Canis lupus familiaris: one gene and its partners. The protein of the gene in region 2 interacts with the protein of the main gene of each other region in a pairwise test. Links are inferred from orthologs where the notes say so. Each region holds a gene or a part of one and is shown on either strand. Other genes may lie near its edges. The genes, in order: CNOT11, CNOT1 and CNOT4.

Region 1 (10,459 bases), on a different chromosome or scaffold from region 2:
AAAGGCCAGCAGCTTCTCGTATCCTACTGAATTCAATACAGAATGCCTGCACTTCTATAAACAAGTCCTGCACATTAATAATTTTGTTTCGGATCAAGGACTGGAGAAAGACACACACAAGACGAACCAAACGATTCTGAAAAAAAGAAAGCCAGTTTTAGTGTATCCATTTTCTTGGCAGGTATTTATAAAATTTACAATTACAAAAATTTCTGTTACTTACCTGCATGTATTTGTCCTTAATTTGTTCACAAGTAGAGATGCAATTTGATATATAAAGATGAATAAATTCAGGAGGTAGATCAACAGCAGTAGTTAGTCTGTTTCATAAAGTTAAAAAGTTAGGGCTGTTAAACACTGTTAATTATATTTTATGGTTACTTATTTCTAACTTAGGATCAGTTACCTAGTTGTAAACATATTTATGTAAATGAGCCTGAGCCATTCTGCTTGTTAATAAAGGGGATTTCCATTTTTAAGTCTATACTTAGCATTACACATGGTAATTACTCATTTTTTTAAAAACATTTCTGTGTGTCCTCGGTTGAATCATAATTCAGTTAATGGTCTTCAAGCTCTCATAAGTAACATTTACTAAACCCCGATTATGCCTAAGTGCTATACGCAAGATGGTATATCTGAGAAGGAGGTATAGTTTAGTAAGTAAATAGTACACTATATATAGCTAAATGGTAAAATGAGGGGTTTACAAGAAGCAGTATAAATGAAAATATGGGAAAAGCCTTGAACTGGAACCTAGAAGTGTTCCTTATAACCTAGTGGATGCTAGGAGGAAAAATCTTGGAATCTGGGATTAGTATGGTACATTTAGGAACCTGGTGATAGAGACCCAGACAGAAGGCATGGTGGCATATTAGAATCTTGTAAAGGAAAGCTGGTATTCTCCAAAGGATTCTGTGGGATAGGAATTCCATGTTCAGATAAAGGGATACTATGCTACCTATATAGTATGAATTTCCAAAAGAAATGTGACTGTAGAACCTTTTTCCATAAGGCACTGAGGAACTAGTGCTCCAAGGAATAGTGGTGTGGTCACTTGAGATGGGGGGTGGGGAGCATAAGCAGACTTTGTCCTTTAAATTATTCTCTAGAAACAATAATATTGATAAAAAAGATGTGGTTATTCTTGGACTAAATCTGGTGAAGACAATAATGCTGTTAAGAATGTAGTGAAGGGGGAAGAAGCAAGCACTCAGAGGTAGCTCAATCCAAGGACTGAACCGGAATGAAGACCCTGAAGGAAGTGGGTGGGAGTCTTCACCGAAGGGGAAAGGCTTGAGCAGAGAATGCATAAGTGAAGTATACTTTCAAAAAGCAGGTAACCAGTTTTGCCAGTGACAGAAAGTAAGGTTGAAAAGACCACTCTCCTGTACACATACTTGTGATCACCCAGCTTCCAGCCAGGCGAAGCCAGGCTTTTTCTCACTGGCTGGTAAGCTTAAATGGACATGGTCTTTAGCAAAATTTCAAGAAGGTTTAAAAAAAAAATCCCTGCCTTAAAGTCTGTTGCAAGTTTTTCCCTTCTGGCCAGTTAGCGTCTATATTATACCCCACATACACACACACACACACACACACACACACACACACACACACACACACACATCTGATTGAGTATAAACACTTACCGATTTACAACTTCCATTGAATGCAAGGACATGTCCATGTTGACCAGGACTGAAAAATACTCCGTGATCTGGCTTGACTGCATTAACTTCAGTAGCATTTCTATAGCAACTAGGGGGTTGTTTTCCACTAGGTCAGGAAGTTTGGCTGGAGTCAGGCCAATATGATAAACGAGTTTGGGGTCTTTTTCCAACTCACCCAGGAGCTAAATACAATCAAATTTTTAAAAAAAGAGGTTTTTGAGTCAAAAAAAATTGTCTGCATTGAACCAACTTCATAAATTTCTTCCTTCAAACCCATTATTATAATCATGTCTTGAACTGCAAAGACTATTTACAAATATGCTAATGATCTCTCCTCCTGGGCATTAAGCCAAACTTGGTATTGTCTGGTTGGATATAATGTCTGGATTATATAACAATATCATCCTTAACTCCTTTGTAGACCTTTTCTGTCCTCGGCTAGAACCAAAAAATAATTTAGTTGCCAACCAGCTCTCCAGAAAAGCACACACCACAGAGAACTGAGGAATAGGAGAAACAAGAGTACAGCCCCAGGTGGAGAACAAATGCTTGAGGAGAGAAGCAGGAAGGGAAGAGGGAGAGCTGCCCTGTTGCAGTCCCTCACTTTGCAGGATGATGCAGTTCAGGTCCTACTCAACTATGTAATTCAAATAGTTCTCTTCAAAAACATAAGTGCTTTTTCTTCAAAATTCTCCACACTTCCTCCCTACTGGCAAATACCACAGTGAACTGTTTCAGGAATGGCCTAGCAAACAAAGTGAACTACAAACACTGTAATCACAGGATCAAAAGTGAGATCTATCCTACCCCTCCTCTCCTAGAGTCAAAATCGTTCAAATAAGAGTTGATACATGTTGAATTATCAGTCTTTCCCCACCAGAGTAAAATGACTAGAACTGGAGAAGCAGAACAAAGATTCAGAGATCCAAGACTCCTTGGATGTAAAACCCTTCCTACTGCTGACTTCTGTTGACAGGGTCATTTAATTGGCCACTTAATGTGGAGGACTAAAGATAAGAAATGCTTATAAATAAATACCTGTGTTTGTTGAGGAGACGATAAGGGGCTTTTGAAGGCTTTGGCCATTATTCGCTTGATCTCCACACCAGTGCTATTCTTGACACACATTGATTTGTCCCATTGAATCGTATGGTCAGGCTCTGTTGGATTCAGCCAAGCCAGCTCATCCTCACAAATGTGGAGTGGAGGTGGTGGACGAATAAACTCTGGGCGGAAATGGCCTTTAATGAGAACAGGAATATTTGTTTCATTTAGTAAGCTAACATCTATACACATCTTTATAAAGGTAACATGATAAAACGCTCAAGACTTCAAAATCCAAGGCAGAGATGATTTAGAAATTCAGGGTTTTATTCAGAATACCAACAAAACGAAATATCAATAGAACATCATTATGCTAGACAGCAAATCTATTTTTCAAGAGAGAAAGGCACTACCATGATCTGGCAATTTTTAATTAAAGCATGATCACCACTCAGAAGCAAAGGATACAACTTCACATACTGGTAAAAGTTCTTATGGGAAAAATGAAATGCTATTTGATTCTGTTCATCCTACTCTTGGTTACCATTATTTTTATTCAGAGACCACTATTATTTGTAACTTTTTTCTTTGCATTTCATGAAATGGCAGGAAACAGAAAAGTATAGCTGCCTTTTGACATTTTCAAATGAATCCAGAGACTTTCATAAATCCCCTAATTCAAAAATCCTGTACTCCTGTTCATAAAACTATACAAGAAAATGCAGTGACTCAATACTTCAACTATTTTCTGAAACAGCATTGATTCCTAAGTTTAAAAACCCACTAAAATAAATACTGGCTGGGATTTTTATACCTCATTTTGGTTTCCACACAGGGCCCTAAGGTGGCCTATTCCAATCATGGATCCTAGCCCATGCCAAATTTGAGACTAGTTTATTGAGGTTTTCTAGCTAAGAATCATCAGTTTATCTTGAAATATCCTCTCTCTCATTTTTATCACCAGGACTAGCATCTCAATCTCTTTTCAGAGTATTTATAAAAAGATAAAAATTTTGACATTTTATGAGAAGTACTACTACTGTGATAAAGGAAACATTTCCGTGAAGTACAGATGCCTCATGTTAGCTAGATTCAGTATCTAATTGATTGGGGTTTTCACATACCTTTCTGGTGGCTCATGCAACAAAAGTTGTGCTTAAACAAATGTTAAATAAAAATCAGCATGTGCCATGGGCTTTCAGGCATACCTGTGACTGGATGAGACCTCAGTTATTAAGCCCATTTATGCCAAAGATGTGTTAATGGCATTAAAGTCATGTAAGTTTAAAATTCATGGTAACACTGTAATTTGGAGAACATTTTCCTTATTCTTAAGCATAAAGCATGCCTTCATCATTAAAACCACATAGAATACCATGAAACCAAAAGATGCAGCTATCGGATTTCATGTTCAGTAGGTGTTTTCTTTGAATTAAAGTAAATTAGGAACTATAATATTAGTAAAACTTTACAAGGGAGAAGGTAATGATAAGATTAATAAAGCACTAAAAAAGAAAAGGTAATACATTACAAGACTCCTTTTTGTAAAATCTATCTTCCAGAATGCTGCTGATAATAAAACATTTGGTATGTAATTTTATTACAGAAGAAACTAAACTGACCACCTCTACTCTGTTCTACTAGACGCTAGGAGGTTTTTCACTGAATTCAAGTCTAGGGAGCAACAAAAAATAACTGCTTTAGAAAACCAAGTCTCAGGGTATTGGTAAAATAAAACCCAAGTACATAAAATTGTATGTACCTACTTTCAATAGGCGGCTTTGGTCCACTGACTAAAGCTTCTGTGATTTGAGAGGCAACCGAGCTGTCAAATCCAGAATTTGAAGAATCTGGGTCCGGGTCACTGAGAATACTAGGGAAGCTAGCCTTACTTTGGGTTGGCAATTCAGACTGACGTTCTGAAAAAGGATAAAATAAGAGATATTTTTAAATTGAGGGTACCACAGGGCAAGAGAATAGACAAGCTACTAATTGGGAATATAAACAAAAGGCAAGATTCAATCTATGTTTTTGTATTGTCTTGTTTTTTTTTTTCCAAAAACTACAAATCAAGCAGCCAGCAGCAGCTATAGTCCGGCCTCTCAGCCAGCTGTGCTGGGGGCCACTCCTACCCCTTAGAGCACCCTGAGCCATTGCAGACCATTCACAACAAGAAGATACATACAGCCCACACAACAGATACCCCTACAGTGCCTGGTACTTGTGACCAAGGAGGATTGAGGTACTGGGCTCCTCAGGGCATTTTATTTTTTTCTTTTTTTAAAGATTTTTAAAATTTATTTATTCATGACAGACACAGAGAGAGAGGCAAAGACACATGCAGAGGGAGAAGCAGGCTCCATGCAGGGACTTGATCCCAGGTCTCCAGGATCAGGCCCTGGATTGAAGGCGGTGCTAAACTGCTGAGCCACCCGGGCTGCCCCTCAGGGCGTTTTCTATATAAGGCCACTATTTACAAGATGAGGAGACTTAACTGACATACCTACTACATAAAAACAAACAGACTCAGACAAAATGAGACAGAGGAATATGTTCTGAATAAAAAAACAACACAAAACCTCAAAAAAAGAACTAAGGGAAATGAGATAAGCAATCTACCTGATGAAGAGTTTGGGTAATGGTCATAAAGATCCTCACTAGAGAGAAAAGTGAATGAAGTCAGAACAGAGCTGGAGAATACAACTGAAATGAAAACTACACTAGAGAATCAACTGCAGATAAGCAGATAAAGACAGTATCAGTGATCTGGAAGACAGGGTAAAGGAAAGCACCCTAGCTGAGCAGCAAAAATATTAAAAAATTTTTAAATGAGGCTAGGTTAAAGAATTTCTTCTGTTCAAGTATAATGTTTGCATTATAGGGAAACTCAAAAGAAGAGGCAGAAAACATTTGAAGAAATAATCACTGAAAACTTCCCTAACCAGGGAAACAGCCAGGTACAGGAAGCAGATAGCCCCAAGAAGGTCCACATCAAGACACATAATTAAAATGTCAAAAATTGGGGCACCTGGGTGGCTCAGTGGTTGACTGTCTGCCTTTGGCTCAGGGTGTAATCCCGGGTCCTGGGATCGAGTCTCACACTGGGCTCCCCACAGGGGCCTGCTTCTACCTCTGCCTATGTCTCTACCTCTCTCCTGTGTCTCTCATGAATAAATAAATAAAATCTTTTAAAATAAATACAATGTTAAAAATTAAAGATAAAAGAGAATCTTAAAAGCAGTGAGAAAAGGCACATAGTTACACAGGAAACCCCATAAGGCTATCTGATGTTCTTTCAGCAGGAACAGCAGGTCAGAAGAAAGTGGCATGATCTATTCAAAGTGCTAGGAAAAAAACATGAGAGTGCTTGCCCCAGCAAGGTTATCACTCAGAACTGAAGGACAGAGTTTATCAGACAAACAAAAGTTAAAGGAGTTTACCACCACTAAACTAGCCTTACGAGGGGCAGCCTGGGTGGCTCGGCAGTTTAGCGCCTGCCTTCAGCTCAGGGTGTGATGCTGGGGACCTGGGATCGAGTCCCACGTCGGGCCCTGCATGGAGCCTGCTTCTCCCTCTGCCTGTGTCTCTGCCTCTCTCTGTGTGTCTCATGAATAAATAAATAAAATCTTAAAAAAAATAAAATGTGGAACACAGGGTGTCGGGTGGGGAAGTAAAAATACAGTGCTTTCAGAATGTGTTCAAACTTAACCATTACCTTAGACTGGTATATACAAAGAATATTATATACGAATATCAGTAACCACCAGTCAAAAACCTAGAATAGATTCAGAAAAAAGGAAAAGAATCCAAGCCTAACACTAAATAAAGTCATCAAACATAAGGGTAGAGAGCAAGGGAAGAACAGAGAACTGCAAAAACACCTGGAAACAACAAAATGGCAAAAAGTATGTATCAGTGAATATTTACTTTAAAAATAAATTAAGTGCCCATTTACTTTTAATTCAAAAGGTATAGGGTAACTGGGTAAAAAGACAACACCTATTTATATGCTTCCTACAAGAGACACAAACATCAAACCCAAAGACAGACTGAAAGTGAAGGTATCCCATGCAAATGGACGGGGGGAAAAAGTTGGGTGGCAAGACAAACTAGACCTAGAGCCTAAAACCAAGACCGAGCCTAGCTGGCTCAGTTGGTATTGGTAGATGGGACTCTTAATCTCAGGGTCGTGAGTTCAAGCCCCACACTGATTGGGCTTGGAACCTACTAAGTACATACATATATATATATACATAGGGGCACATGGGTGGCTCAGTTGGTTAAGTGTCGGACTTCAGCTCAGGTCATGATCCCAGGGTCCTGGGATAGAGCCCCATGGCAGGCTCTGCACTCAGCTGGGAATCTGCTTCTCCCCTCTTGCTTTCATACAGCAAAGGAAACCATTAACAAAATGAAAACATACTGAACGGGAGAAACTATTACAAATTCTGTATATGGTAAAAGGTTAATATCCAAAATAACTCCTACAACACCAAAAAAAAAAAGGATTTAAAAATGGGCAGAAAATCAGAACAGACAGTTCTCTAAAGATATACAGATGACCAACAGACACATGAAAACAGGGACGCCTGGGTGGCTCAACGGTTGAGCGTCTGCCTTCGGCTCAGGTTGTGATCCTGGGGGTCCTGGGATCAAGTCCCACATCAGGCTTCCTGCATGGAGCCTGCTTCTCCCTCTGCCGGTGTCTCTGCCTCTCTCTCTTTCTCTCATAAACAAAATCTTGGGGGGAAAAAAAAGCCTTAAAAAAAAAATGGACTGACTTCAACAACCATTTAATTTAAAAAAAAAAAAAAAAAAAAGGTTGAATGGCCAATAAACCTTTGAAAAGATGTTCAGGGCAGCCCCGGTGGTCCAGCGGTTTAGCGCCGCCTTCAGCCTGGGATGTGACCCTGGAGACCCTGGGATCGAGTCCCACATCAGGCTCCCTGCACGGAGCCTGCTTCCCCCCGCTGCCTGTGTCTCTGCCCCCTCCCCTCTCTGTCATGAATAAATAAAATCTTTAAAAAAAAAGTTCAACCTCACTGGTGGGGGTGTGGGGATCAGTCAAAACACAAGACACTATTACATACCCTTCAGACTGACAAAAATTAAGCCTGAAATCATCAGATGCAGAGAATGTCAGGTAATTTGCACACTGCTAATGGGAATGAAACATGGCACAGCAACTCTGGAAAACAATCTGCCACTAGCTAGTGAAGTTTTACATTTGCTTATCTCCCTAGAAAAAATATTTTCACATGTACTACCAGAATGAACATAGCAACATTATGTCCATTAATAGTAAAATGGGGGGGATCCCTGGGTGGCTCAGCGGTTTGGCGCCCGCTTTCGGCTCAGATCATGATCCTGGAGGCCCAGGATCGAGTCCCGCATCGGGCTCTCTGCATGGAGCCTGCTTCTCCCTCTGCCTGTATCTTTGCCTCTCTCTCTGTGTCTCTCATGAGTAAGTGAGTGAAGTCTTAAAAAAGAAAAAAAAAAGTAAAATGGATGGAGAACTTGATATTCCATTGTATGAATGTCACAACAGCAATGAAAATCAACCACTACAATTCATCAGTATGGATTCACTTTACAATTAACACCCAAAAGAACACAACATGTTTCCACATATATCTCAAGTTGAAGAACATCCAAAGTTAAACTACAGGCATATATAAAGGTGAGGGCGATAAAGTAAATCCTGATTATCACAAAAATGAGGTTAGTGATGGGGGAGAAGGGGAGCAGCTAGGAAGAGAAACACACAAGGAGACTCTAGGTCCTGAAACATATTTCTTAACCTAGATGATGCTGCTCCAGGGTCACTTTATAATTCCTTAATACATGCAGATTTTATGAAACTACATATTTCAGATTTTGTAATTTTTTTAAGATTGATTGATTTATGATAGAGAGAGAGAGGCAGAGACACAGGAGGAGGGAGAAGCAGGCTCCATGCCGGGAGCCCGACGTGAGACTCGATCCCGGGACTCCAGGATCGCGCCCTGGGCCAAAGGCAGGTGCTAAACTGCTGAGCCACGCAGGGATCCCCAGATTTTGTAATTTTTAAAAAAGATCTTATTTATTTATTTGTGAGAGACACAGAGAGAGACAGAGAGACATAGGCAGAGGGAGACAGATTTTGTAATTTTGAAAAGACAGGGCTAAATTCCTGATTCCTTAAAGAGCTATCAGTGTTAATAAAAAAAAAAACAAACAAACATGGATTCAGTGGGAAAACTGTCAGACATGAAAGATGCCTTGTATCTATAACATGTTCAACTTCATTCATTTAATAGGAAAAATTCTAACTAAAATCATCCCAAGATGCTGTTTTCTCCTATTGCTAGCTAAAGTACAGAAAATGAACATACTCTTGACAAAAATATAGGAAAAATGTTTAAATTGGCACAATGTGTAGTAAAATAACAAGTACAGGTTATCTGGAATTTTTAATAAAGCCTCTGAAATATTGACATTGTTAATAGGGTAAAAAAAAAATGCCCCTTGTAGTTACTTTTGTATAACTTGTCTGCTTGTTTATTTAAAGTTAAAAAAAATGCAACTGCATCCTCCATAAATACACCTCTGGTCCATAGATCCTACTGCAAGACATGAATTGCAGGCCTCTGCAAAGGTGAATTTGTGTGTAGCCAGCTCCAGAGAAGATAAGTGTAGCACTTTTTTTCCCCCTGATATTTGTAAAAATGCATGGATTAGGACATCTTCAATCTGGGTAGGAGACAGCAAGTTTAGCCATTTTGCCAAGCTTTCTCGAGACTAACTCTAGCATATATTCCTTTCTGGGCTTGATATACTTTAAAACTTTCTCACAGTCGAACTCAAGTCATCCGAAGTTGCAAGGGAGATCAGACCTGATTCTCACGTTATTGAATACAAAGCAAAAGCCCTCAGAATATATATATCCCTTCTGAAGGTAAAATGACTGAAACTGCCTGTCACACCTCTGTACCCAGCTCTCATACAATCTTTCAAGAAATAATCATATTTTATTTCCGTAAGTAGATTATATCTAGCACTAGTGAATTAGCATTTCTGCATACCTTCAACCTTAAAAGTCTTAAAAAGATTTCTCGATTTCAGAAAATAAACATTGTTCTAATGTGATACTCAGGAGTTAAAAAGTGAGGGTCGGAATGTTCCAAGGAAAAAGCAGTTTATTGAACGATGTCACCTTGTATAAGAAACCAAATGTCACAGACGCATTAAGTCTAGTAAGAAGGATGGGGGACTGTCAAAATTAATACTGCAGCTCACTCAGTCACAAGGTGAAGGGTTCACAAATTTGCCCATATATTAGAATTTCCCTAATCAATCACTCTCAGTGCAGTCTAGCAAAAGGTGCCTCTTCTATCTTCCCTACTCAGAGAGGCTCTGACCATCCAGGTCAAGAAAGCTCCTATTTTCTATCACAACAGGCTTCTGCTTCAAGAGATCCCATTCATTTATATGCGTCCCACAGAAGGCGCCAAAGCAATCTTGAAACAGCAGGACAGGGGAACTTTCACACATCCTGACTTCAAAACTTACTACAAAGCTACTGTAAGCAAATGTGTGAAGTGAAATACAGACAGACAAAGCAGTGATCACTGAATAGAGAACCCTGAAATAAACCCTTCCATATAAGGTAGAATGATTTTCAACAAGGGTGCCAAGAGAAACCATGTGGGCTATTCAGGGTCCCCTAGGATTCCGTATGAATTTTACAATGGGTTTTTCCATGT
Region 2 (11,108 bases):
TAAAATAAAAGTAAAGTAAAGAAAAAAATCTCCCTAGGTAATTAATTACCCAAGAAACAATTTAATTCTGTAGAAAACTATTTTTAATAGATATTCATGATGTGCTAAAATCCAATCCACTAAATGAAAGTGAAATCCTGAACTACCAAACCAACCTCCAGAGATTTTAATTATACAATGACAAACTCCTTCAAAAAAACAAATGGTTGGGGAATCCCTGGGTGGCTCAGTGGTTTAGCACCTGCCTTCAGACCAGAGCGTGATTCTGGAGTCCCGGGATTGAGTCCCATGTCGGGCTCCCTGTGTGGAGCCTGCTTCTCCCTCTGCCTGTGTCTCTGCCTCTCTCTCTCTCTCTCTGTGTCTCTCATGAATAAATAAATAAAAATCTTTAAAAAAAAAAAAAAAAAAAACAAATGGTTAACCACAAAGATTATGGGTTTTTTGTTTTTTAAGTAGGCTCCACACCCAGCATGGAGCCCAACGGGGAGACTGAATTCACACCCCTGAGATCAAGACCTAAGCTGAGATCAAGAGCCAGATACTTGGGGCACTTGGGTGGCTCAATCAGTTGAACATACCCTTGATTTTGGCTCAAATCATGATCTCAGGATCATGAAATCAAGCCTCTCATCAAGCTCTGCACTCAAGCCAGGAGTCTGCTTCCCCTCCCCCGCTCATACATGCACACTCTCTCTCTAAAATCAATAAATCTTAAGGGGAAAAAAAAGTCTGAAACTTAACTGACTGAGCCACCCAGGTGCCCCTATGCTCTTCTTTGATTAGTAAATTCATACATCTTTCTTTTCCTTGTACTGAACTCAAGCAGAATATGGAAAGACAGAATGAACATCAGGATACAGTAGGAGGGACACCTGGGTGGCTCAGCTGTTGAGCATCTGCCTTTGGCCCAGGGCGTGATCCTGGAGTCCTGGGATTGAGTCCCACGTCTTCCTGCAGGGAGCCTGCTTCTCCCTCTGCCTTTGTCTCTCCCTCTCTCTCTGTGTCACTCATGAATAAATAAATAAAAACTTAAAAAAAAGAATACAGTGGAAAACCTGGTCTGTCTGACCTTAAACTAAGAAAGTCACCTTACTTTCCTCAGCTTCTATTTCCTAAAGAATGATACCATAATTCTGTATGACTAGCTCTCAAAGTGTAACCATCTAAAAGATGTCAACAGAATTATAAGTTTATAGTTCCAAGAAAAAGGCTCTATACATCTACCCTAGTGGAACAAATGAAGCATTATCCAATTACAATTCAGGGCAATGAGGCAGAAAAAATTTACAAGGCAAAACAGTATATGCTATATGTAACAAAACTGACCAAGAGGTATTTAAGAAACCAATCTTGTTAGGAATATCAGTGCAAAGACTTCTATAGACAGTATATTTGAGTTTGAATGATAGATGTTTTGGTAGACACAATGACTTTCCAGATAAAAGAGATAAAGGATAAAGATATATTTAGGAACCACTATGTAACAGTCTTTTGACTACTACAAGATAGTAATATGATGCCACAGGTAGGAAAAGGATCAACACACAGCTCCAGGCCAAGGGATTTGAAGGACTTTTGAGCAGAGAATGCCTATTTTTCAAACCAGTGACTTAGGAGGCAATCTGGCAGTAAAGAATTAATTATATTCCTGGAATTATTTACACTTGGAATGTATTTACATATTACTTATGTAATTAAAAAACACAATCAATAAATCATGGGGAAGATACGGGAGATTAGTTAGAAAGCTACTGCAAAGGGGTACCTGGGTTGCTCAGTCAGTTGAGTGCCAACTTTTTTTTTTTAAGATTTTTTTTTTTTTTTTTATCCTTGAGACACAGAGAGAGAGAGAGAGAGAGAGAGACAGAGACACAGGCAGAGGAAGAAGCAGGCTCCTCACAGGGAACTCGATCCCAGGACCCTGGGATCACACCCTGAGCCAAAGGCAGACACTCAACCAGAGCCACCCAGGCAGCAACTTCTGATTTTAGTTCAGGTCATGACTTCTGGGTCTGGGGCCCGGGGTGGGCTCCATGCTCAGTGTGTAAGTCAACTTGAGGAAAAAAGAAAGCAAGCTACTGCAAAAAGGCAAGGGTGGGCTTCAGGGGGCGCCCGGCTGGCTCAGTAAGTAGAGCATGGGACTCCATCGTGGAGTCATGAGTTCAAGCCCCACACTGGGAGTAGAGAAGAGAAAAAGAAAGAAAAAGTCTGAAACAAAGGGTTAACTATTCTTAGGATTAATCTAATAAAAATTTAAAAGTAACACTGCATTTCAATTATCTGAAAGGGAAAATGCTGAGCTCTTAATGAGGATTAAGAACAGAAGATAAAAAAAAAAAAAGAACAGAAGATGATGTCTTTTGAAATATGCTTTCATTCCCTTCTATATTTTACATAATTAGTACAACATACACACACACAAACACTTCTCCGGCAGACAATTTAACATCTCATTCAATTTTAGGAATTTCCTAACAACTGTTAACAAAATTAACCGAAACATTTTATCCTGGAGGTTTATGCTGAGCTTTCCAACATTAAAGACAGAAGTCCATTTCTTAAATCAACAGTCTACACTTCCAAAAGCTGTACTTTCTTCAAATCTCAACACAAGGTTTCAGATTAAGTCTACGCCTCTAATTACTGACTTCTTAAAGGTGCTTTTCAATTAATGTTTTATTTGCTTTGCTACAGTCTTACAAACATAAGAGTAAAAAGAACAACGCTAAACTATTGTGTATATATAGGGTGCTAAGGGTTTTGAGCCCCTTTTAGCTTTGAAACATGCTTCTTAAAAATTGTGAGCAAACAGAAAAGGAAATGTAGGACTTTGCTATATATAAGGTCTTAAAATAAGACTCGGTGGGATGCCAGTTTGAAATGTCCCAGCAGGAAGTTCAGTTTGGTCAGAGGGCCATTTAAAAATGCTTCAGCTAATATTTTTAAATGACCTGAAAGTTAGTTTTGTACTAATAAAGTATACCAAAGTTCATAAAATACAGCATTTCAAAATGGCAGGCTATTATTTTTGGTCATTCCAGAAGCATAAACATCTTAACAAAAATTAGTGCCTTAAAGAATGTGTGAGGGGATCCCTGGGTGGCTCAGCGGTTGGACTCCAGCCTTTGGCTCAGGGCGTGCGTGATCCTGGAATCCTGGGATGGAGTCCCACATCGGGCTCCCTGCATGAAGCCTGCTCTCCCTCTGCCTGTGTCTCTGCCTCTCTCTCTGTGTCTCTCGTGAATAAATAAATAAAATCTAAGAAGAAGAAAGAAGAAAAAAGAAGAATGTGTGAGCATTTAATTAGAATTATGGACAAATTCCCTTCCACGCACTGAATGCCCAAAATTTTGTTACCTCATGGAATGAAAAAAAAAATTCAAGTTCATCAACTCAGGCTGCTCAAAAAGTTTTTCATAACTACGTATCAGAATCTAACAAAAAACATGCTTAGAGAAAGCAACATGCAATGATGAGATCAGTCTTTAAGCAGGGTCTTGAACAGACAGCATTTCCTCTTGTGTTCATACAGTTATACAGTTTGTTTCTAAACGACATAACCCAAAGTTAAAACGTCACAGTACTTAGCCTGACAAGATTCCATTTTGAAGAGAGTGGGATTTAAACAAGCCTAGTAGAAATTTAGAGATTAGAGGAAAAAAACTAAGCCAGAAACTAATATATTTGACTTAGGAACCAAAAGCATTTCAGTCCCACCAAGATGCCACAAAACCCTGCTTTAAAACCTCTAAGGTTATATCTTAAGCAAGAAAGGGAAACGCTGTCAGTTATTAATGGTCCAGTCTTTGTTCCTTGATTCTAGAGTTAAGTTTCCAATAAAGGTCTTGGGACCAACACTTGTTGAAAAGGGACCAACCCTCTCAACAGGTTTTATCAACATACTACCATTTTAAAGTAAAACTGGATGCCTAAAACTTTATGTATCATCGGCTCATTTTCTGCTAAGACAAGGTAACAATTTGCAGTGTCCCAAAACAAGACTACTTAAACTGTTACCATATATATTAATAGCAAAAATACCACGCTGCCCAGCTTTAGAAGGATAAAGTCAACCTGAGCCACACATTACTAACATATTAAACCCAAATACCCCAACAAAAACAGGCTTGCTCTAAATGTTTGACCTTTCTAATTTTTTCCTTGTCCTCCCCTTTTTTCATATATGTATCCTTATTCCTATCAAACGGATTGTCACGAGGGCCATGATCAGAATTTTTTACCCCCCAAATACTCAATTATAGTTTATTCAAATTACTGGCTGTTAAATCTTCCAAGGCAACAGAATTACAGAGAAAAGGGGAAAGAAGCATCGTTACTCTGCTTACAGGAAGAAAACACTTTTTTTATTAGAGTCCTAAGCAATGGGACATTTGATTGGGTGGCTTCGGGGGGGGGGGGGGAAAGCCTACTTCTCAAAGTTTACTTTAAACACAGCATTTCCAAACCCACAGGTATCAGACATTTTCTTTCTTTTTTTTAAGCTACAAACCTCACTCCTAGCGGGGATAATGATCTGTGTGAGGCTAGCTGGGCAAGTTTTGCAGAGGAACTGGTACCGAATGAGTTATTTTGTGTTTGGCCTCAAGCAACCTCTCTGCTAGAGGTGCAGGAAGGAAGTCTCTCCCCAGCGCCCAGGCCTACAAGCGCTCCGCTCACTGGGGGGACACTTGGGGGGGGGGGGGGGGCCGAGCCGCCTCTACAGCTCAGACTCACCGGCCCGAGTGGGCGACTTCGGAGAGAAGTCGGAGCGCCCCGGCGCGCGACTGGAACAAAACCTGTGGCCAGAAGTAATGAGGAAGTGCTGGCTCCCGCCCGCCCCTCGCACCGGCGGGCACCGAAACACCCGGGGGGTGACAACGTGCTGGGGGCGCAGGGAGCGGGCGGCCGGCTCCGCATCCCCCAGAAAGACCCAGGCGCCTGCAGCCACTCCAGCCACGGACCCTCGCCTCGGGAACTAGGCCTCGGGGGCCGGAGCCCGCTGCACCCCTCCGGAAGCCCGCAGAGAAAGGGGCAGTTGAGGAGCTCGTGGGGTCCGACGAGGGTGCAGCGGGCGCCCAGCGCGGCCCAGCCGCCCCCCCGGCCGCCCCCGCGGCCCCCAGGCCCTGCCGCCTGCCGCCGACCGCCGCGGGGCTCACCCCGCGCTCTGCGCTCCGCTCGCTGAAGCCTCCGCCCCAGCCTCCTCTCTTCAGAGCCCGAAGGCTCCGCCAGCCGTGGAAAGAGCCCGCCGTCTCCCGCCTCCCCACTTCCCGGTCCCGACTGCCCCTCAGCCCGCGGAGCTCCGGGAAACGCTCCCAATGGCCCCTGGACCGCCCCCGTCCCTTCGCCCAGGGGCGCTCGCGCCCCGACGCTGACACCGCCAGCCGGCTGCAGCCGCCGACCCCGGCCCGCCTCACCTCAGGCGGCTCCGGCAGCGCTGGACACAGGAAACTCCTGAGTCCCCGTCTCCGGCTCTCGTCGACCCCCTCTTCGGTTAACTCCGCTTGTTTCTCTACAAAATGGCGCCGGAGGTCGCGCGCTCACGTCGCGGCCTTTCCCCTCCCCGTTCCCATTTCATCATTCGCTGCCCGCCCGAGGAGGGACGGCCCCGGCACCAGCCAATGATGGGCCCCAGCCCGGGGCTCCCGCCCAATCACCGTCAGGTGCCCGCGGATTTAAACCAATCATACACTATCACTTGCAGAAGTCAAGGAAGAAACCAGGCTCCTGCTAGCAACTACCAATCCGGACTCCTACTTCGCGGGCTCGGGCCAATTGCCGCTTCCCCGTCCCTGGGGACGGGAGTCGGGGCCCTCGCGCCTGCGCTCGAGAGGAAGACCAATGGGGAGACGCAGACAACTTCGATTTGGGGCTTCACGGACTTCCCACCGGCCCTCGAGGTCTTCGACCAATCGGAGCCTGGCAGTGCCTCTGAGAAACAATAAATATGGGAGGGGCCCCATAAACCCTCGCCACCCCGCGCGGGAAGTACTTTGAATGAGCGTTAGACACTTTTCCCGACTCTCCTAACCCCTTTCGAAGTGCCGGGTCCGGTATACAGCGGGGCTGCACCCCCCTCCCCTGGCGTCCCTTTGGTAAGAACGCCAGTTACCGGAAAACAAGCCAGGAGCCAGGCTATAACTACGGGCGGGGGGTGGGGCGGGGGGGGCTCTGCGTTCTGGGACGTGTAGTCGTCCCTCTGCCCCGCGCGCCATCCTTGACGCTGAAGTATCGCGTCTTCTTCCGCCACGGACTGCGTCCTAAGGGTGCATTGCATGCTGGGGAATGTAGTCTCCTACCTGGTCCTAGTTTGCCACACGTTTATCAGAACTTTCTCCTTATCTAGTCCTGCCTATTGAAGAAGGGACCCCTTACAGAAAGATGGGAAGCTAAGATTCTCTTTTTGACTTAGCCCTATTAGCAGTATCAGGATACCTATCAGAGAGGTATCAGAAAGGCTCTCATTAGAAAAAGCATAGAAACATACCTTTGCTGCGATTTACCTATATCGGATTGTAAGATTTTATGGTCACCTGTTCCCACACAAAGGTGGGAGGACGGGGAAGGAAGTGATGACTGCTTGGTTTTTCTACCTTTTGGGGGAAAAAAAAAAAAAAAAGACCCTCCTCATCACTCCATCCTGCATCCTGGGCTAGACTCAGTGGCTTGTCTCCCAACCATCTGTCTCATGCTACCTTTTGTGTCTAAAAATACTTTATTTTAAGATATTTATTTATCTGAGAGAGAGCATCACAGTGAGCGACCACAGACGGGATGAGCAGCAGAGGGAGAAACAGAAGGAGAAGCTGATCCAGGACCCCGGGATCACGCCCTGAGCCAAAGGCGGATGCTCAAACACTGAGCCACCCAGGCGTCTCTTTTTAAATTTTTAAAAGAGACAAAGTGAGACCCATAAAGGTCAACTATCTGAAGTCAACTCTGAAATTCTACAACTAGTTCAGGCCTCAAACATAGATCTCCTAAAATAAGTTGAAATAAAACTGAGTTGCCTTTCCCCACTTCAGTCTGTCTTTGCCAGAAAATGGTTTGCTACTTTATATTGAGGCTGTTCCAGGACATTCTTAACCCACCGACAGTCCCTCCCCTAAAACGACATCAATGCCACTCCTAGAATTTGACTTGCCTTGGGGACTTAGCCAAGTAGCTGTAGGATTCACACAGTAGCCTGGAGATCAAAGTTCTTCAACTGTATGTTGTCAAGAATTCTGGGTGGCTTCTGTCCCTACTCGAAAGCAAAGAGACTTATAGAATGTTCACAAACTAAGAAGTAATGGAGATCATGTGATGTACCTTTTTCATTTTACTGAAAGACATAGTAGGAAATCATGCCCAAACTATTTTACTAGAGACCTTCACAAAGGATTCACTGAATCACCTTAAATAACTCAGCAATTATGTGTCCTGGGGTTCAAAGGTATTTGGAAACAGGATATTTCAGCCAGCTGTTAATTACTCACCTGGCCTCTCCTCAGCCTTCATCTTCCAGTCCTTCACCCTCCAGTTAATTGTGCATCCCAGGCTCTGGAAACACTTTACAAACTCTTGTTTCCCAAAACAGCATGGAGGAGAAAACCTACCAGTTAGGAAACAAAAACCTTATGGAAAAAAAAAAAAAAAAAAAAAACCTTATGGAATTGGGTTGCAGTCAGTGGATGCAAATTTACTCAGAAGAGGAAGGACTTTGAGACTTTAAGACCCGTGTGAACTGTATTACTTTTGAAATGCTTGAAAGAAGGGTAAGCAGAGTACAAACCTTATTATTTCATGCTCCTATTTTTCAGTCCCATTTATCAAGTGATTCAGTAAATTCAATTTATAGTAGTTTTGACTACTTTACAACTCCCTGTCCAAACAACTTCCTGACAGCCTAACCCTTCCAGCCCATCACTACTGCCTAGTAACAAAGTTCCTGACTCCCCAGGCACACATGCTTTGGTATTACTCTGGTGGCTCTACCCCAAAGGGAGGATGTCTGGGGAGGCATATTGCAAACTCACAGAAAAATATTCTGAAACCCAAGTCCCAAACCGGGCTGTACCCCCAACTTTCTGTGTAACCTTGGGAGGGTCATGTACCCTCCCTGGGCCTTTTTTCTCCCCTTCTTCTCTACTCTGAGGATATTGGACAAACATTACATGGCTCCCAAATTGTGGGCTGTTGATTCCCAGGAAGCCAAGGATTTGCTGTGGGGTGCTGGAATTCTTATGTATGCACAGGTTTCTTTAGTCAACCCATATATTCTAAAAGTACACTTTTACTTGCTTTATCTTATTCACATGTCAGGACCCTAAGAGGTAGAGTCTGAGTTATTTACCCCATTTTACAGATCATAAAACAGAGGCTTAGAGAGGTTGAGTCACTCATCCGAGGTCAAATACCTGGCAGAACAAGTGTAGGAACCCAAGCTGTCAGACTTCAAGGCTCACATTCTCAGGCACCACACTCTCAGCTGCAGTTTGGAAAAACCCCTGCCCAGGAAACCTGCCAGCTGTGACATTCAGTGGCCCATTAAAAACCAGATTACTTTCCCAGCAACAACAAAAAATGTGACATGTCATCTGACAGGGTGTTGTGAGTTAGTAATAATGGGTTCTTCAAATACTGCTATGTGTTTGATGTTTTCCAGTTGAAGTTACATTTGAATTATTAGGTCCTCTCCTTAACAGGAAATTTGTCCTAGGGCTGTATAGGAGCTCCTGACTTAAGGTTATTTATCCCCCTGTCTCTTTTCATGAGAAAACAAGAAAGAAGCTAGGAAGTAAAAGGAAAGGCCACACATCTCCTCTGGTTCATAAGTACTTTAGAACTATCTAAATGGATGCTTGCAAACAAATTGGAGCAGATCTAGGAAGCCTGCCTGGGATCTAGACAGATGAGTGAAACATAGGACAACTGACAGAATTCTGAGCTGGACAGAGTCTGTGACTCTGCTCTAATTTTTTGTGTCCTCCCTGATTATAGACCTACTGTTTGAAGTGATTACCTGTAAGCTGGACCATAAGCCCAGATCCTTTTTTAATTCTATTTTTAAGACTTTATTTGAGAAAGGGAGAGAAAGCAAGAGCAAGGGATAGGGGCAGAAGGAGAAGTAGACACCCCAGTGAGCAGGGAGCCCAACTTGGGGCTTGATCCCAGAACCCTGGGATCATTACCTGAGCCAAAGGCAGATGCCCAACCAACTGAGCCATCCAGGTGACCCAGCCCAAACTCTTCATCTTTCACCCATCTGAGCCCCTGCCTTAGCAGATAGTTCATTTATTATTATAGACTTCTCAAAGAACTATCTCAGCCCCAATTTTAAACTTCACATTTTTTTCTCCCTTCCCCAGACTCAACTTTTTTTTTAAAGATTTTATTTATTTATTCATGAGAGACAGAGAGAGAGAAGCAGAGACATAGGCAGAGGGAGAAGCAGGCTCCATGCAGGGAGCCTGATGCAGGAACTCGATCCCAGGACCCTGGGATCACGACCTGAGCCAAAGGCAGATGCTCAACCACTAAACCACCCAGATTCCCCCCAGACTTAACATTTTTAACCTAAGATTCATCTCTACTATCATTTTAGGGACCTTAGAGATGTAAACTTATACCATATCCTGAACTTGGAGGTGGGAGGGGAGCAGTAAGTCTAAGGATTGTCCTCCAAACTCTTCAGCATTCCACATTTCTCTCTCTAAGGTATAAGTCCATCAGACATTTAATCTCTTCCAAATACAACATAGAGTCTTAGGAATCTGAGAAAAAAAGGACCCTGCCTTTAAGATGCTAACAGTCACTCTTTGGAGGAGCAAAAGATAAACCAGTTAATACGTAGTGAACAATTGAAGCCTGTATGTTACCTATAGAACAAATGGATCAAACATCTCAATGTTGGGACGCCTGGATGGCTCAGCGGTTAGGCCTCTGCCTTTGGCTCAGGATGTGATCCTGGACTTCCGGGATGGAGACCCACATTGGGCTCCTGCAAGGAGTCTGCTTCTCCTCCCTCTGCCTGTGTCTCTGCCTCTCTCTGTGTTTCTCATAAATTAAATAAATAAATAAATAAATAAATAAATAAGAAACCTAAAAAAAAAAAATCTCAACATTGAGGGTGCCTGAGTGGCTCTGTCTGCCACACTTCAGACTCCTGATTTTGGCTCAGGTCATGATCTCAGGGCCATGAGATCAAGCCCCGCAGTGGGCTTACGTTCAGCCCAGAGTCCACTTACCCCTCTCTCTCTGCTCCTCCTCTGCTTGCACTCTCTCCCCCTCTCTCTTTTTCTAAAATAAATCAACAAACCTGAAAAAAAAAAATTCTCAGGATGCCTGGGTGGCTCAGCGGTTGAGCAACCACCTCCGGCTGACGTCGTGATCCCAGGATCCCAGGATAGAGTACCACATTGGGCTCCTTGCAGGGAGCCTGCTTCTCCCTCTGCCTATGTCTCTGCCTCTCTCTCTGTGTCTCTAATGAATAAATAAAATCATAAAAAAAACTCAGTGCTGGAAAATGTTCCAAAAGAAATACTTTTGTTGAAACTCTTCCAAGATACATACCTTAAACAAATGTAATAACCCCTTACCCAAAAAGGTGGGCTGAACAGCCAACCTGACTGACCCAAAAAGACTTCCTGTGACCAGAAATCCTTGAACTCAAATACACTACTGGGGGCCTGTGAACAGTATTTCAAAATGCATATCCTTCTTCATTCTTTTACTAAGTTCATTATTTTTGGTAGGTAAAAACTCCCAAATTCAGAACCCACAGGGAAAATAATAATCAAAGATCTTTAGAATAGGGCAGCCCTGACAGCTCAGCAGTTTATCGCCGCCTTCGGCCCAGGGTGTGATCCTGGAGACCTGGGATACATGCAGCCTGCTTCTCCCTCTGCCTGTGTTTCTGTCTCTGTCTCTCTGTCTCTCTCTGTGTTTCTCATGAATAAATAAATAAAATTAAAATCTTAAAAAAAAAAAAACTGAGCTTTGGTAGCCTCATTTGCTCACCTGAAGGTAGGGATATGCCCATATTTGTCTTTGTAGCCCTGTGGTGCTTGGTCTGTTTTAGAGTAGTGAAAGATGAAAGAATGTACATGAAGAAGAAAGCATTTTGAGAA
Region 3 (10,459 bases), on a different chromosome or scaffold from region 2:
AATAATTATTATTTTAAATACTTAGGCTTCCTTTTTTGGTATTCACATTACTCTTTTAATATTTTAACAAATAAAGGCATATCTTTTATCACAATTGTTTTTTGAAAACATCAAGAGGAGATCTGTCTTCCCAGATACTTAATTTAGCAGAATATGGTCATGTTTTCTGAATCAGCTTTTATCTGCTGCTCAGAATTGATTTCAGTCTTATTTTCTTTCATTATCAGCTTTAAAATTATTTCAAAAAATTGTGTATTATTCAAAAACATTAATTCATATTATGTCCTAATAAAGTACTTCACTATCCTCAGTGAGCAAAATTACCTACAACTTACATGGCCTAATTTTAGAGGATCCTCAATCTCTTTTTCCTCCACTTTAGTCTCATTCTGGCCAGGTACTTGTAATATAGATTTATTATCACATTTCAATTATTAAACAACGAAGCTTCCAAACAGATATCTCACAGAACTACTGTTTGTTCAATAAAAATGTTACACTACTACGGTTGCTTCTCACATACAATGTTTACCCCATATTCAAGTTTCTGATAAATCAACTGTAAGTTGAAATTCTGTTTCTGAGGCATTTCCTGGTATACTAGGCAGTGCATTAGAAAAGAGATATTGCATTTAGGCTATAATAATTAACCTTCTATATATAATTAACAACCATTCAAAAGAAAGTGCAAATGTGCAAATGAGAGACAACAAAAACAGTTTCTAAACATGTAATGCATTAATATAGGATATAAATCCATACAACTAAAAATAATTGCTGACAACATCCTTCTGAGCATTAAACAACACCACCAATTTTGTTTTATATGTTTTCTTTCTTCTCAAGTACTCAAAGAAATGCAATAGACATTATCTTAATTTTCAAATTTTTCATGAGTATATTAGGATATTACCATTTTTTTTCACAAATCAGAAAACAAGGAACTACCATTATCTTTGCATAATTTCAATAATAGAGCCAAAATAAGAACAATTCTAGCTAATCTCATCTGGGATCTTAATTAGTACTACAAGTTTATTTGTGTGAGTTAAAAATAGTATCACTCATGAGAAACAATGCCAAAATTATTATGCTAATAAATAGTGTTAAAGGCCTAATGAAGAAATACTTTAGCAACTACGAGGTAACACACTAGTTGTAGGCATGAGGAACGTTTATATTGGCTCTTTTGGGTGTATACATTAAATGCAAAATCAGAAAGGAATCATGCAAAAAATCCGGTTGCCCATGCAAGCACCCCAGAGTCTAATCCTCTCCTCTCAGTTCTGTTGTCAGGCCACAGTAGTGTGGAGACTTGTAGGCTGCTGTCCTTGTTGTAATGAATGGGAAGAGGCTGACAGTGGCATGGTCGAAACCTTCACCTCTTCTTCCCCTGTGGAAAAGTCAGTCATGGTCTAGTTATGGGTGACTAGATTTGTTAACAGTCCCTTTAAAAATGATTTCAATATTTGGAATACTGATACATATATAAAATACATGCTTAATGGCTGGAATCCGGGTGTGAAACAAGACATGAATTTTAAAATATAAACTTATCAAGTACCTACAAAGTAGTTACACTATAAACACACCCTTCAATTTAATACTATGTCAGATATAAGAACAAATATAATAGATTTTAGATTTTTATTTTATAAATAAAAGAAAAGAAAAAAAAAAAAAGAGAGACCAGGAAAGCCATTCTTTTCCAAGTCAATTGGACCCCTTTTCACTTCAGATACTTCTCTAACAGTATTTTGGGAAAAAAATTAAAAATAAGTTCACAGGTGTGAAAACATGCTTTTAAAAGGAAAAATGACAAATCCGTGTTTTAAAATCAGAAATTATATTTATAAAAAATAACAATATAAATATTAATTTACCATATAGCATCTGGAAATTCACTGTGTACTTCTGAAGGGATCAAAGGAGTAAAATGATCCAATTGACTGAAAGCGAGATGACTACTTCTAGGTCAGAGAACTATACATGAAAGGAGGTCAGGTCTAATTATAATCAATAATTACTGGACTATAAGTGACTTGTTTCACACATGACTCAAAATCCATTCAAGTCACTGTTAGAATAGCTAATTCAGTAATAAAATTTAAAGAAAAATGTCCTTTCATGAAAACACGAAAAAAATCCAATCCTAAACAGTTTCAAATATTTTTCTAAGCATATCTTAAAACAACAATGCTTACAGACTGAGACTATTATTTGTTTTCCAAATAATTTTTAGTGTTATGGAATAAAAACATCTTGGCAGAGTCCTTTGAAAAATAAATTTGCAAAATTACATTTGGAAATATTTAACTGACAATATGAAGAAAGACTCTCAGCCTTTAGAACAGGTTATTTCATAATTTTCAGTAAATTGGCCAAGATTCTATAAACTCCAAGTACACAGCAAGGAGGCTGTGTAGAAAAAACTTTACATAGGGTTTCTGGTGAGAACATGATACTAATAAGGACTACGCAAGACATTCATTTTTTTTCAAGTTGATAAACTTCATTCTATTTTGTAAGCTATAGGCCATACCCCTGAGCTGGGCCAATTGTCTCAGGAATATATACTAATGATGAAAAGGAATCTGCAAGGGTGTGAGAGCAACAATCAATTACTATAGGAAGAAAGCCAAGTTAAAGTACAAGCCAGTGATCTTCATTTGTGAAGGTGAACATCAATGTTGGAGTGGAAAAACATTTCATTTTGAATGTGGGATCTGGGTGGTACTACTACTACTACTACTAATTGAATGTTTGATTTTTAATAAATTATTTAACCTGGAACATAGATTTGCTATTTCTAAAAGAAGGAGCTGAACAAGATAAGTCACTTTTTAGGAAAAGTCACTTCTTAAACAAAAACAAACACATGGTTCCAATAATAAAAAATATCTGAAGGGACCTACTATAATTTTCCACTAATCAAAGGTTTCCCTCAAGAATATTTATTTCAAAAATCCTTCTACGGTTAGCAAACTGGATGTGCAGCCAAGAAAATGATAGTAAAAAGATTTTGCCAAATTAAGGAAATAACTAATCTTAAGCAAAAAAAAAAAAAAAAAAAAGTTTTCATGTAGGCATAAGAAATGGAAGCCGCATTTCTGTCAAACTTCTGGCAACTGTCCTTCCCATGATAGGTTTCAGATATAACAATTTTTAATAATCTAACTGAAACAAACCAACACTAAAAGTTTAAATACAAATATATAATAAATATAGACATGGTATCTGTAAGATATATAGGTGAGTGACACCTGAGTTATTTGTTCTTAAAGGTCAGGGACCCTGTTTTGCTCTACGTATCTAAAGAATAAATAAATATACATGCCTTTTCCAGTCTAAGCATATCTTAAAGTGGCAGGTATCATAGAAACAGTAGGTACTCTCCGTTAATGAAGCACTTCACCAACAGCTCCCCTGGTAAGATACCATGATATTCATTGCAGGGTACAAAGTTGAACCTACTTCAATAGTTCAACCCAAGTACAAATGATTTATAATTAGGGGTGGGGGAGGCAGATATTGCCTAGGTATTAAATTGCTTCATATTAGACACAGTTAAAATATACATAGTTTTCCAGAATTTCACTTTCTGTCATTTCTAATTATTACTGAAAGTCCCAAATGATCTGGCTATAATTATATAACTATTCTGTTTTGAGACTTAGCACATTCAGCTTCCTGAGATATCTCCCTAATATTTATAGGACATGAGAGTATTCTAACTCTTAACAATTTTAAATCTTTTGGTGCATTAAAACTAAAATTTCTCATCAGAGACTTAAAAGTAACCTAATAATAAGCTTATTCATAAGTCACCATTTAAATATCAAACAAGTATGCACAGACAAAAACAGAAAATCTGAAATAACAAACTCTCCCAACCTCCCAGAAAATATGACAATGATTCAGGACCTACAAGTTGGTAACTTCATTCTTAGAATTTCTGGGGAAAAAAAGTATTTTATGTTCTATAGTTGAGTATATTTTAAAAGGAAAACCCACAGAATAATACCATAATTTAATGCCACATTTTTTTTATAAAGTATCTAGTTTAGATGAAGATTTCAAATGACTAACATGAGGACAACTATACTCACAAATCAGTAATTATTCATGACCACTGTGGCGTTTTCACAATATATACTGGTTTGAAATATTTGGGTTAAAATTATTCTTTTTGTGCTAATGGACAATATGGTAACTGTGAAATCAGAAGAACGGATAACTTACTGAAGATAGTCATGTAGTAAGTCAAATAAAAGTATACAATGAAGATAGCTAAGAACTATCATCCCCCAAAGGCACCCTTCTTCCTAACATATCAAGTCCATACTATGTTGCCTTGCTGTCAGAGTTCCCCAAGTTCTCATCCATTCTATTTATACATGAAGCACCTCCCATTACTGAAGGCAGTTTTATTGCTTCTTAATGAAATGACATACTAATTCCTGTCTTCACATCTTTATTCAGGAGTTCCCATCAGTATAAAAGGTCTCTCTTTTCCCCACTAACCCAAATCCAAGATACCACAGTACAGATCAATTCCTACTTCAATGAAGCCTTCCCAACAATTATAGCCTCATCTGATAATCTCTCAGATTCCAGTTATCATACAGTTACCACTCTCATACATAATATTATTTCTTCAACTACACTGCAAAATTCCTGGAAATAGTATCCATATTTTATAGTTCTTTTATATTAACCACATGGCCTAGTTCATTGTTGGGCAAACAAGAACCCAAATATTCACTGTAATTGGTTTAATATTTTATTTTTGAATGTTTAGGATATTTAGGGGAACTTTAACTCTTAATGTTGTTACTGGTCATGAAATACACTACTAGTCATTAAAATGCCACATTTCTAAATGATTAAAGCAAAACAAAACAAAATTACACTCTAACATGCTGTCGTGAATGGAAGATTAAAAAAGCAGTATCAGGAACTCAATACTTAAGTGTTTCACAAGTGAGTATCACATTAGAAGGAGAAGACTGAAAAATGTCACTCTGAATTACCTACTAACTACCATAATCAAATGAACAAATATCATGAATCCCACTGAAAGATGAACCAATAGATTGGTGCTATCATATTTATATAAAGTAACTTCACTTTATCAACTGTAAACTTCACTGTATCAAAAGCCACAAACCATATTCCCTTAACCCATCTACTTGTCTTGAAAATGAAATGTGGTTGATCACAAAAAGAACAGAGTCAAAGAACTCTGATGGATCTCTCCAAATTCACCTATCAATCTTACTAAAAACAAGAGAACAAACAACCTGCTGGTAACAGCACATTATTACAGTAAGACTGTGCCATGCCATATCTTAAAGGCCATGACAAGGGATAACAAATAATTTTATGAGTTATGTAACATTGTGAGGGACTATTCTATTCTACTTGAGAATCAGAAGAGAGAGAAATTCTCTTTTACTAGTCATCTATTTCTAAAGCCCAAATTAAATAAATTTGAAAAAAAAATAAAATTAACAAGAAGGATTTCTTTAGATACAGAAGTCACTTGATCTAATAAATGTTATATGGGACCTTAAAACCCAAAAGTTCTGAAACCTTCAAGGGTAGCAGTACAAAACCAGAAGTATTCTGGTATCACTCTTAAAGAACCTAACATTTTCCATAGAAATAAAAACATGACAGACCAAAAGGGAAAGTATCTTTCCTTAAACAACTGCTTTTTCACAGAAAGTATACACGTTATCTGTGAAACATTAATAAACAGAGTTCTCAAATATTAAGTACTTTATTAACATATAGCCCAGTTTACGTGTGTGTGTGTGTGTGTTTGCGCATGTGTATCAGTCAGATACACTTATACTTTTGTATAAGTAATTGCCAAAAGTAGTCAAAGAGTGGCTTTGTCCCTCATGCTCTCACTAAGTACCATCTCAAAAAAATTTTTTTGAATCAGTTTACTTTTAGAATGTATAATCAGAATTTGTACCATGGTGTTGGACTTTCCAGCACCATGATTTCAGAGCCCATTTTTTTCTTTTTCTTTGTGCATTTATATTCCATATGAAAGTATGGTAACTACCCTGTTAAATAAAATGCTTCCAGGTTATAATTAGGTATAATACTCCACCATCCTTATAAAGCTCAATATTACAAGGCATCCATCCAATTAAAAATTTTTTAGATGATGATAAGGACTTTTTTTTCCCCATAGAAATTTCCAAGAATAATAAGTACTCTCTGTTATTCAAAAATTCCCTTCCTTCCCACCCAACAACCTGAAGGCATGAGTTATTCACAAATTCTCAAAGGCTATAAATGAACCTACCTGCTATAGGGATCCCTCCCAGACCTGTGTTGTGCTGTGGCGGGAGATTCAAGTCCAAGAAATTACTATTTGAGGTGGGGTTTGCTGTGTGGTTCAAGTGCATGATGCTATTGCGTGGAAAGGCCATCCAAGGATAGCGGGCTGCCTGGCCTGGAAAACTGAATGAATTATAAACTGCTCGGTGCTGCTGAAATTGAGGGAACCTCTGTGGCAAGACTGAAAAGGTACTATTGAGAGAGTTGGCATTTGTCGGTGCAGCAGGATGCAGGAATCCAGAGCCCGGACCTTTGGCGGTTGTAGTGTGTGAAGAGGAGTTCTGAAGAGATGTGGGCGAGAGGGAAGGCTGGTCTTGGACTGACAGTTCCTTTTCAATCAGGTCTGCTAAGGCTTTTCGAGTGACATCAAAGGGGTCAAAACCCAAGTCATCCTCTGGTTGTTTAGAAGAACCAAAGCCAAATGCTGCTTGCCAGTCTGTAGAGGATGATACTGGGATTGTTTCTGTTGGGAACACAATTGGTAATAAATTGAAAATACGCAGTTCACTTGTACACTTCAGGAAAGTTATACTAGTGAAAGTTAAACACATCGTATTACAAGATAAAGGCAAATATATCCAAAGGCTGTATGCCTTCTTAGCACATTATCATATTATAAAAGGTCTCATATACTTCTACCAATGATTGCATTCTTAAGTTACCAATAAAAAATGAATGATACAGATTTTGGTAATTGAAGAAAACAAAATACTTGAAACCCAAATTATACCTTCAGCTATTCACAACCAAAACATGGAAGAAGTCATTTCAATGAAATAAGGTATTACATGATTGTAAGAGAATTCAATTAGTAAAGTCTATTTTTAGACTTTATCAAAATGTATTTATCAAAGGCAAAGTCTAAGTGATTTTGAATATTTGCTTTATATACTACCAGGAAAAAAATAAAGTAACTTAATGAAAAAAATATCTACTTAAACTTTATGTATTTTTTAAAATTGTCTGCTCCACTGATAATAGGTGTTATATTTTCAATGTTAATTCTATGCCATCCTTCACATCAATAAGAAAACTTATAATGAATAAAAATGAAAATGGCTCAAAAATGTCAAAATGTAACTTTCAATATTAAGTAACATACCTCTTTGTCGGCTGGAGAAAAAAAATCTTAAATTTAACTATATAAACACAAATAAGGTTAAAAATGTAAGCCCTTAATAATTCCTAGAGGAATAAGCATTTTATTATCAGAAAAATGATCTAACCCGTGATTTCTAGAGAAATCTGTCAACACAGTAAGTCCTAGGTCACACAATTTACTTATTATCCTATTCCAATGCAGTTTAAATGTTTACAACTTTATGAAAAAGGGAGTAGAGGTGGCTTAAAGGAGTAAAAACACATCCTGCAAGGTCTCATTTCAACCTGAGTGAAATTATTAACATGCAGTTAGTATCGTTGTATACCTGATGTGAAGAGACTCTGTGGCTCTGGTGCTGTAGGCCAGTCACTAGATGTCTGTGGGGAGCTGGGGAAAGGAGGAAGCCCACTTGGGATCGGGTTGGGATGGCGAAAATTATCTGAGAATAACGACTGTGACTCAGTTACTGCCCCTTCAAAAGGAGACCGTGCACTGTGATTGGATGAACTGATGGGGATGACTGGATTGGATTTTGATAAACCAGGTGGTGGTGAAGGCGTATCACTGTTAGATATCTAAATAAAATAGGAAAAGAAAAGAATAATCAATACAAGTTTATACACTTTAATAAGTCACCATTAAAAAGGCCTGCAATGAAAGGTATTAGAACAGTGGTTTCAAAGTGGGGTGCTTAAAGACTTTTTTACAAGAACATGAATTTTCAAAAAATCCATCAAGTACATATGTACTCTTTTCTAAAACTGACCCTCCTTGAAAAGACTAAGCCAGCCTCCTCTCCTTTCAGAAGCTATCTTCTCTCACTTTACAAAAAGAATATCGCTCACTCTTTGGGATCTAACTATAGTGTTTTGACCAAGAGCAAAAACTTTCTGGGAGCAACAGAAATAATATTAGAAATATTCAGACAGGTGATGAGAATGACTCATGACTAGATTCTGACCATATCAAAACAATGAATAAAAATTCAGAAGAAAGAAAGATCGGGGGCGGGAGGGGGGGTCGCCAGGATGGTGCAGTCACTTAAGCATCTGACTCTTGGTTTTGGCTCAGGTTATGATCTCAGGGTACTTAGATTGAGCCCTGTAGCAGGCTCTGTGCTCACCGAGGAGTCTGTTTAAGTTTCTCCCTCCCCTCTTCTCCTCTCCACTGTGCCTTTACTCTTTCTCTCAAATAAATAAATCCTTCTAAAAAATTTTAAAAAGAAGAAAGAAAATTGGCATTTAAAGCCTTGTGTCAGGAAAAAAAATATTGTTTCCAATTCAAAATACATGTCTATTTTTGAGAGAAGTATATGCCTGTCAAGAATTAACTATATTGTATTAAGATAAAATCCTGTGATGGCAGTAGAAATAGAAGAATGAGTTCAAGAAGAACATGGAATGATGTAAAATTTGAATGTTAAAAGAAAGCATGCAGTTTTTTTTTAAATGAATGATTTCTGATACCTAAATCTCTTACTTATTAAAAAGCAATATAGTGCTTTTATTTAAAAAATCAATATTTACCAATATCCTAAAAATTACATCCTTTACAACTATTTTTAACTTACTATAAAAAGAATCTTTAATACTAGCCTAAAATATACAAGGGATGTACAGATTTTCAAATTCTTTTATGGAACCTATGAGCAGAAATTCTGGAAAAGCAGTGCATTTTAGATCTCGAAATTTCTCATAAACATTGTGGGGAACTGGCCATTCTTTATGGAACAGATTAGAACTACATATTTTTTGTACCAATATAAGAAGGTGTACAGAAACTTATGCAGTGAAAAACTAGCAACTGGACAAGATGTTACAAAGCAGGATACAAGATCAGGACTTTACTCAGTATCAATGTGGATACAACTCTGCACTGAACTATTTGGTTTATTATCTCAAAGCCCATAGTCATTTGGGGAAAGGGAAAACTGTTGGGGCAAGAACATTGTGAGAAACAAAATTAAGGTTGACAAAAGGCAACATGGGGAGCATACAGCAGAGAAACAACTCTTAAAATCAAGACTGAAGAAGGCATTCAGTATTTAAAGTATTTTCCACTATCCAGAAAATTTACTTGCATAGAATGCCTTGTTTCAGGGAATGGAAGATAAATGAAATGATATAGAATCAAAATCTTACCTGCTGGGAATTATCACCATTCCCTATACTGAGAGAATCTGAAGGTTTGTCAATGGGGCTGTAAAAAAACAAAAAACAAAAAACACATCCAATAAAATCAGAGTAAAATAATTCTTACACACACACACACACAAACCCAAAAGCCAGAATAAATAGACATTTTATCATCCTAATATTTGTTGATGCACTGTGATGTAAAGATACTGGCTGAGATGTTGAGTATACAAAGAAATATAAGATCAAATCCCTACCCATGAACAACTTACAATTCTAATTAGATTCTCCAAAAACAATGGGTGAAACAATAACTTATAAAACAAAAAAGGTACTGCTTAAAATGAGTACTACTATAGTAGGTCAAAAATTTAATTCATTATTTCGTTTTGTGCACATGTTAAACACATTCCCCATTTAAATTCTTGAAATAATACTCCCTTATTTTTCCAGGTGTTTAACAGAAAGCATAAAAGTCACTCAAATGTTCTCCACATTTTCTTAAGAGCAATAAATTTCCTTTACTACTTCAATATTCTACTTACAACTCTAGAGAAGGCATATGTGTATAAATGCACACACACAAAACAGAAACTGTTGTGCAATCTACCCTTAAACAAAGACAAAAACCTGACTTCCATAGAGAAAATGCAGTACGATAGTAAAGTACAGTAAAGACTATACTATTTACAGTCACAGAATTGCTGACTTAAAAACAAAACAAAATGTTCACAAGCATTCTAACAGTGACCTAGTGAGGCATTTCCATAACTAACTTTATTTAACCTAGCACATGGATAAAAGGTTAAGTATTAGTACCCAAATACTAATACTGATTCTGATATAGTAGTATAGAAAAAAC

Evidence for each region.
Region 1: the proteins of CNOT1 (region 2) and CNOT11 interact in binary tests that used the Homo sapiens proteins (3 or more experiments, as listed by UniProt). The link is inferred for Canis lupus familiaris from reciprocal best matches to the Homo sapiens genes CNOT1 and CNOT11.
Region 3: the proteins of CNOT1 (region 2) and CNOT4 interact in a two-hybrid assay, tested with the Homo sapiens proteins (3 studies listed by BioGRID and IntAct, with this or other methods). The link is inferred for Canis lupus familiaris from reciprocal best matches to the Homo sapiens genes CNOT1 and CNOT4.

The regions. Positions count from the first base shown.
Region 1 is NC_049231.1:42,708,598-42,719,056, forward strand, and holds part of CNOT11 (CCR4-NOT transcription complex subunit 11), read right to left. Parts: intron 4,634-10,459; coding exon 4,481-4,633; intron 2,912-4,480; coding exon 2,709-2,911; intron 1,853-2,708; coding exon 1,650-1,852; intron 321-1,649; coding exon 224-320; intron 137-223; coding exon 1-136. UniProt on the Homo sapiens protein: Component of the CCR4-NOT complex which is one of the major cellular mRNA deadenylases and is linked to various cellular processes including bulk mRNA degradation, miRNA-mediated repression, translational repression during translational initiation and general transcription regulation.
Region 2 is NC_049223.1:57,302,686-57,313,793, reverse strand, and holds the start of CNOT1 (CCR4-NOT transcription complex subunit 1), read right to left. Parts: upstream 5,564-11,108; 5' UTR 5,415-5,563; exon of another isoform or gene 5,372-5,414; intron 1-5,371.
Region 3 is NC_049237.1:12,484,903-12,495,361, reverse strand, and holds part of CNOT4 (CCR4-NOT transcription complex subunit 4), read right to left. Parts: intron 9,662-10,459; coding exon 9,604-9,661; intron 8,038-9,603; coding exon 7,788-8,037; intron 6,824-7,787; coding exon 6,326-6,823; intron 1,394-6,325; coding exon of another isoform or gene 1,293-1,393; exon of another isoform or gene 1-1,292. UniProt on the Homo sapiens protein: Has E3 ubiquitin ligase activity, promoting ubiquitination and degradation of target proteins. Involved in activation of the JAK/STAT pathway. Catalyzes ubiquitination of methylated RBM15.